Macaca mulatta: one gene and its partner. The protein of the gene in region 1 interacts with the protein of each later gene in a pairwise test. Links are inferred from orthologs where the notes say so. Each region holds a gene or a part of one and is shown on either strand. Other genes may lie near its edges.

Region 1 (4,300 bases):
AAATATTTCCTTACGCTTTATCTATGTCAAGATTTGATACCTTTATTTACAGATTAACTTTTCTGATTGCTTTGTTCTACAATACCCCAACAATACTCGGTTTTTTATAATTCATGACACCATAGAATTGTAAAAGAATGGAATAAAAACCATGTAAGAAGTGTACAGGCGGCCAGGCTCATGCCTGTAATCCCAGCACTTTGGGAGGCCAAGGCAGGTGAATCACGAGGTCAGGAGTTCAAGACCAGCCTGGCCAAGATGGTGAAACCCCGTATCTACTAAAAATACAAAACTTAGCCAGGCGTAGTGGCAGGGGCCTGTAGTCCCAGCTACACGGGAGGCTGAGGCAGAGAATTGCTTGAACCCAGGAGGTTGAGATTGCAGTCAGCCAAGATCGTGCGGATGCACTCCAGCCTGGGCGACAGAGCAAGACTCCATCTCAAAAAAAAACAAAAACAAAAACAAAAGTGTACCGGAAGACATAGGTTCCTACAAAGAATCGATATTTCAAAATATAAAAAATCCAATTAAGCGTAAAGTCATCTGGAAACTTCTCTTGAATCCCCATCACATACTCTTTACCTACAACCCTATACTAGTGCTAATTTTCAGTATCTTTAAATATCAACATTATCATCCTTCCACATAATCTTTCATTATTTCCCAGGTACCTTCTGTGACTCTTTTTTTTTTTTTTTTTTTTTTTTGAGACGGAGTCTCGCTGTGTCTCCCAGGCTGGAGTGCAGTGGCGTGATCTCGGCTCACTGCAAGCTCCGCCTCCCGGGTTCACGCCATTCTCCCGCCTCAGCCTCCCAAGTAGCTGAGACTACAGGCGCCCGCCACCACGCCCGGCTAGTTTTTTGTATTTTTAGTAGAGACGGGGTTTCACCATGTTAGCCAGGATAGTCTCGATCTCCTGACCTCGTGATCCACCCGCCTCGGCCTCCCAAAGTGCTGGGATTACAGGCTTGAGCCACCGCGCCCGGCCCCTTCTGTGACTCTTACCGGTGTTGCCTATACACATCTGATAACATTCACTCTTCTTATCTATCAGACCAGAAAACGGAATTCACCTCACAAGTATTTGATCTAAGGCAGTGACAGAAATTTAGTGCTACATTATACGGTACAATGAGGACATTTAACGTTCAACTAAAGGGCACTCAATGACAGCTACCCTGATGTAGCTCTGGAAGCAATTACATGTAGCTTTCATCGCAGATTTGTTTGAAAAATATGTCTTTACTGGAGACAGTACATCCACATTCTACCCAATTAACATTATTCCAAAATAACTCTTGACCTCAAAAGTATTCCGAAACAGTTATAAGACTTGAAATGAAATGGGAAAAAAAATCATACAACTAGAGGTATCTAAGACCTGGGTTTGGGGCTCTGCCTACAATGAAGCTGTGTCACCTTGGGTAGGTCATCTGACCCAACACCCCCAGTATTTCCTACTACATAACGAAGAAATTAGTCTAAATTTTCTTTAAGGTCTCTTCTAACTCTAATATTCTACGAATGTATGAAAGTTCAATCTTTCCCCATTTCAAAGATAATGGCGGCAGGCAATAACGCCAAGTTAGCCTACATTTTTTTTTTCCTTTTTAGAAAAATGACACAACTTTGGATGTCTTCTTGGGTTGAAGTTTTATTTAGGAAAATAAACCCCAAATAAAAACGATGTTGAGAAAATGCGGGGGGGGGGGCGGGGGGAAGAAAATCATACACTGACGTTAGCTAAAATAGAAACTTCCATCACCCTTAAGCCAGTTTGTCAATAGTTATTCAACGCCTGCTACTCTAATCACTGGCTTCCTAAAATAGAAATATTTATGGTTGTTTCCTTCTCATCCCCGGAGATACATTCCGAATAAAAAGCACAGAGTCTAAAATCAATTTACAACTTCAGAATAAGTTGCAAGGAGCGAAACAAACTCCGCACAGCTCGCCAAGTTATTTGCATTTAAGTGCGATTAGGGCTAAGAAACGGTTCTTATTATGAGATGCGAGAAAAACGCACAAGAGGCAGGTGACATCTGGAAAGGGAAGCTGAACTGCCAGGAAGCGATATAAGCTGAGAACCTTAAGGCAACAGGTCCAGGGCCGGTACCGCAGCCTATCCCGGGAGGGGTCGGTGGCTGCCACCTCGCCCGCCGCCCTCCCCAGCCCCAACGACGTTGTCTCGCCCCCGCCCCCCCATCCCACGCCCCTGCGGCAGAAATCTCCCTAATCACTCACCTCCCTGGGATTCCCGCCCCGGGCAGGCCCTCCGATCCCTCGGCGCCGAGGCCGGCCCGGCCCTGCCGTCCCCTCCCCCTCACGCCGAGGACCCCGCAGCCCTGTTCCCGCAGCCCCGTCCCCACGGCGGGCCCGCTCACCTGCACCTGTTTGCGGAAGTGGCGCGGCCCCGGCACTGCCAGCGAACAGGAGGACCAGCAGCAGCAACAGCCGCCGCCGCAACGCCGGCGGCCCCGGCATCTCGCCCACGGCGCGGCTCCGGGGCCGGCTCTCTAGTCGCCTTCCGTCCGTCCGTCCGTCCGTTCGCCCGTCAGTCGGTCCTGCCTCCCTCCGCTGCCTCAGCGGCACCCGCGCCGGCTGCTCCTGAGCACGCGTTGCTTCTGCCAAACCTCGGTCCGGCTCCCGGTCCGCACCTGCCGCTCCAGTCGCAGAAACACCATCCTTCCCGCCTGCGCCGCCGCCGCCGCCTCTCAACAGCAGCAACGGCAGCAGCCCTGCGGAGCAGCGGGCCCGGGCAGCCGCGCTCCCGCCGCCATGATGGGCTGCGTCATGTGACGTAGCGCGGGGGCGGGACGTCGAGATGGACAGGGCGGCCAGCCACTCGTCAGTCCACACCGGCCCAGGAGGCCCCGCCCATCATCCTGAAGGAGTGAGCGGTGGCGGCCGGTGCGCCCCCTGCAGACGGAAGAGTGCGTGGGCAGCAGGTAACACCAACAATTATTTTAAATTGAAAAATACAGGAAAATGTAAAGAAAACCATGACAATCATCCTGATATTTTTTTCTAAGTGTTTTATAACATGCAAAAATAGGCCTGTCTTCTGCCTTTTTTTTTTTTTACTTGTCAGAGCTGTTTTAGGCTCTTCTCCTTAAGTTGACCTACACATCCTCTCAGCCATCCAACAGCTTTGGGCTTTTCACTTGAATTGATCAAGAAGAGAATGCCTCTCCCAGCGTCACCCACTGACTCACCTCCTGAGCTCAAGCTGTTGCCTCTTGTCCACCTGGCACACACTCTTCCTTTCATCTGTCGAGACTCAACTGACATATGACTTCATCCATGACTCTCTAGGAGAAATGACTGTCATCTCCTTAATGGCCCGCCCTGGCCCTGTATGGACTGCTATCCCAGCTGCTGTGTCCTATTGACCCGTGGTTGTAAGCTCCCTGATTCAGCTGGGGGGAAATCCCTGGTGCAGGACCTGGGTTGGAGCAGGTGTTCTCTAAAGCAATGGTGCATAGTCCTGGTCCCAGGTACCAGGGCAGAGCAGCTCCCAGGGGTGGCCTTCTCCCCACCAACAGTTGAGGTGAGAACACAGTCCTGCAGAGAGGATAGAGAAAGCACTCTCCAAACACAAGTAATATAGTGGTCAGAGACATGGGGGTTGAGAAAATGCCAAGCTTTTCTGGAGAGGCGCTGTGGTTCAGTGTGTGCATGAGAGGAGCTGATTTCAATCTTATCAGATGGGACTTTGCCACCTGGCAACAGGGTAACCTCCCCAATTCTCCGAACTCCCCAAATGTCCATCCTAAATGACAGCTGTCGGTGATGTTAACACAGCACTGGACACACAGATGATGCCCAGGGAATATTTGTTGGATGATTGAAGCAAGCCAATAAATATCTAATAAGACAAACAGCTGGAACGAGAAACATTGAATTTAAAAGTCCATGGCTTGGCCGGGCATGGTGGCTCACGCCTGTAATCTCAGCACTTTGGGAGGCCGAGGTGGGTGAATCACTTAAGGCCAGGAGTTCGAGACCAGCCTGACCAACATGGTTAAACCCCGTCTCTACTAAAAATACAAAAAATATTAGCCAGGCATGGTGGCGTGCACCTGTAATCCCAGCTGCTTGGGAGGCTGAGGCAGGAGAATTGCTCGAACCCAGGAGGTGGAGGTTGCAGTGACCTGAGATCGCACTACTGCACTCCAGCCTGGGCAACACAGCAAGACTCTGTCTTCAAAAAAATAGTTCACGGCTTTCTGCTGATTCTTTGTGGAATCAATAAGGAAGGCAAAGGTCTAGGAAAGAGACACAACCACCCTGTTGTACT
Region 2 (3,500 bases), on another chromosome or scaffold:
GTCATTTACCTAGCTTAGAAAACAATAAACAAATCATAGCTTTAAAAAGAAGAAAATCCTCAGGTATAAGAGTCTAACTAAAATTCAGATTATAGTTAAAATTATTTTATGTTATCATTATCATAAAATGAGCTTATTTTCTCAATTTTCAAACTTATTACAAAATTAGTTCATTAAAATAAGAACACCGTTTTAAGAATTGTCAACTTGGCACGGTTGCTCACGCCTGTAATCCCAGCACTTTGGGAGGCCGAGGTGGGCGGATCCCCTGAGGTCAGGAGTTTGAGACCAGCCTAGCCAACACAGTGAAACCCCGTCTCTAATACAAATACAAAAATTAGCCAGGCGTGGTGATGTGTGCCTGTAGTCCCATCTACTCAGGAGGTGAGGCAGGAGAATCAATTGAACCCGAGAGGCAAAGTGCAGTAAGCCGAGATCACGCCACTGCACAGCCTGGGTGACAGAGCGAGACCCTGTCTCAAAAACAAAACACAAAAAAGAACTGTCATTAACCACTGTGAATACCAATAATTCACTATTTAAGTCTCTTATTCAAAATAATATAAATGCCTCACATCCGCCTTTCCTCCTCTTCCTTTCTTCGACGTTTTTCATCTTCTTCACGTCTTTTTCTTTCCTTTTCCATTTCTTCTTGAATACGCCTCAGCCTTTCTGCTTCCTCTTCCTGCTGTTTTTTTTTCTGTAATGCACTGAGGAGTTGCTCTGAGCTTTTAACCAGTGCATCATATTCTTTCTGTATTTGTTCCCGTGTCATCATAGTGGACTTTAAAAAATAAAATAATAGGTACGTAAAAGCTTATTTCTTCTGTTGCACAACAATGTGAATATACTTAACAATACTGAACTATAAACTCAAAAATGGTTAAGATAAATTTTACGTTTTTTTTTTTTTTACAATTTAAAATAAAAAACTACTCCAGTATGCAAATACAGTAAAAACTAGGTAAGATGGTAAGCAATATGTCCGTTATCTTTGCTATACTGTTTGTACATTAAATACTATTCAAAAAATGTTTTATGTTATCTCTGCACACAAGTATTAGACATCAATTAGACAGGTGTACTGTGGACAAGATAATATATTGCAGTTAAAAATTATTTCTAGGCCGGGTATGGTGGCTCATGCCTGTAATCCCAGCCCTTTGGGAGGCCGAGGTGGGCAGATCACCTGAGGTCAGGAGTTCGAGACCAGCCTGGCCAACATAGTGAAATCCTGTCTCTAACAAAAAAAATACAAAAATTAGCCAGGCATGGTGGTACACACCTGTAGTCCCAGCTACTCGGGAGGCTGAGGCAGGAGAATTGCTTGAACCCGGGAGGCGGGGGTTACAGTGAACCGAGATCACGCCACTGCACTCCAGCCTGCACAACACAGCAAGACTCTTGTCTCAAAAAGAAAACAATATTTCTTAAGTAATGATCAGCTAATTTAGCAAGAGTTTACTACTACTTTATAATAATGTTCAAATAGTACCTAGAGAATACTTTAAAAATTACTAAATATATCAAAAATTATTAGATGATTTCGCCTTCAGAAAATGTGGGTGGGTTAATTTATAACACCACATAAACAAGGATGGCCCTTGACAGATTTATAAAATCAGCTGAGTCTATTTATAGCATTTTCATTTTCCTCCAGATCTTTTTTTCCTTTCTACCTCCAAGATTGCCATTGTTTACATAAAGTATCTGCAGAAAATATAAAATGCTCACATTAAGATATTTATTATATCCCACATACTTGCGCTGACCTATGAAACTGAGAAAAAGCATTAAAACTCTAAAATATAATTGAGGAAAAGATACAAAATGTAATTAATGAAATATGAAATATAATTAACAAACACAGAAAAGTCTTCAATTCCACTAGTAATCAAATAAATAAAAATCAAAACAAAAAAAGGGGTCCCATTTTTTTCCCACAAAATTGGAGAGGAAATTGCTATTTTCACAAAATTAAGTAAATTACATTATCGTATCTATGAAGATAATGTATTAACATGGACAAGTATATAACATAATGGTAGAGATAGAAATTGAAATGTATATTATGATTAAGAACTATGTAAACATTTATGCATAAAAGAGTGTAAGGTAAAGTAAAAACAAGTAAAATTATACTGTAAAAATAAAAGTAAAAATATACTGTGATATACAACAGTATATTAACTGAATTTGTTAATGTGGAGGTAATGTGGAGGTATTAAGAGGTTTTTAGTGGTTTCTCCAATTTTTTTTTTTTTTTTAAGCCACGGGTCTGTCACCTAGGTTGGAGTGCAGTGCTGCAATCTCTGCTCACTGCAACCTCCACCTCCTGGGCTCAAGCAATCCTGTAACCTCAGCCTCCTTGGGACCACAGGCTCATGCCACCATGCCTAACTAATTTTTTGTATTTTTGGTGGAGACAGGTTTTGGCCATGTTGACCAGGTTGGTCTCTAACTCCTGAGCTCAGGTGATCCATCTGCCTGGGCCTCCCAAAGTGCTGGGAATACAGGCATGAGCCATCACATCTGGCCTCCAAATTTGTTATAATATTATATTACTTTTATCATTTATTTATTTAATTATTTTTAGACAGAGTCTCGCTCTGTCGCCCAGGCTGGAGTGCAGTGGCACAATCTTGGCTCACTGCAACCTCTGCCTCCTGGGTTCAAGCAATTCTCCTGCCTCAGCCTCCCAAGTAGCTGCAACTACAGGCGCGTGTGACCACACCCGGCTAACTTTTGTATTTTTAGTAGAGACGGGATTTCACCATGTTGGCCAGGCTGTTCTCAACCTCCTGACCTCAAGTCATCCACCCACCTCGGCCTCCCGAAGTTCTGGGATTACAGGCGGGAGCCACCGTGCCCTGTCACTTTTATAATGGAAAAATTAGTTTCTCAAAGTAGAAAAGCATGAAACAAATTAAATTATTTGCATTCATCCTCTCAGTCATGATTATGCAAGAGCTCACCAATAAAGTATGGTATTTTAGTTGCTCTTTTGTGGAAGAAACATCTGGTTTTTTTTTTTTTTAATATATGTGTTTTGTGTTTTCTTTTTGCTTCAACTTTAATTTTTTTTTTTTTTTTTAGATGGAGTCTCACTCTGTCGCCAGGCTGGAGTGCAGTAGCATGATCTTGGCTCACTGCAATCTCTACCTCCTGGGTTCAAGCAATTCTCCTGCCTCAGCCTCCCCAATAGCTTGAATTACAAGTGCACACCACCATGCCCAGCTAGTTTTTGTATTTTTAGTAGAGACAGGGTTTCACCATGTTGGCCAGGAAGGTCTTGATCTCCTGACCTCGTGATCCCAAAGTGCTGGGATTACAGGCATGAGCCACCGCGCACGGCCTTCAACTTTTATTTTAATTTCAGGGATGCATGTGCAGGATGTGCAGGTTTGTTACACAGGTGAACGTGTGCCATGGTGGGTTTGATGCACAGATCATCCCATCACCTATGTATAAAGTTGTGGGGAATATCTTTCTTAGCAACA

Evidence for each region. The genes of interacting proteins can lie anywhere in the genome.
Region 2: the proteins of LMTK2 (region 1) and MYO6 interact in a two-hybrid assay, tested with the Homo sapiens proteins (2 studies listed by BioGRID). The link is inferred for Macaca mulatta from reciprocal best matches to the Homo sapiens genes LMTK2 and MYO6.

The regions. Positions count from the first base shown.
Region 1 is NC_133408.1:45,286,457-45,290,756, reverse strand, and holds the start of LMTK2 (serine/threonine-protein kinase LMTK2), read right to left. Parts: upstream 2,801-4,300; 5' UTR 2,485-2,800; coding exon 2,385-2,484; intron 1-2,384. UniProt on the Homo sapiens protein: Phosphorylates PPP1C, phosphorylase b and CFTR.
Region 2 is NC_133409.1:109,843,821-109,847,320, forward strand, and holds part of MYO6 (unconventional myosin-VI), read right to left. Parts: intron 785-3,500; coding exon 576-784; intron 1-575. UniProt on the Homo sapiens protein: Myosins are actin-based motor molecules with ATPase activity. Unconventional myosins serve in intracellular movements. Myosin 6 is a reverse-direction motor protein that moves towards the minus-end of actin filaments.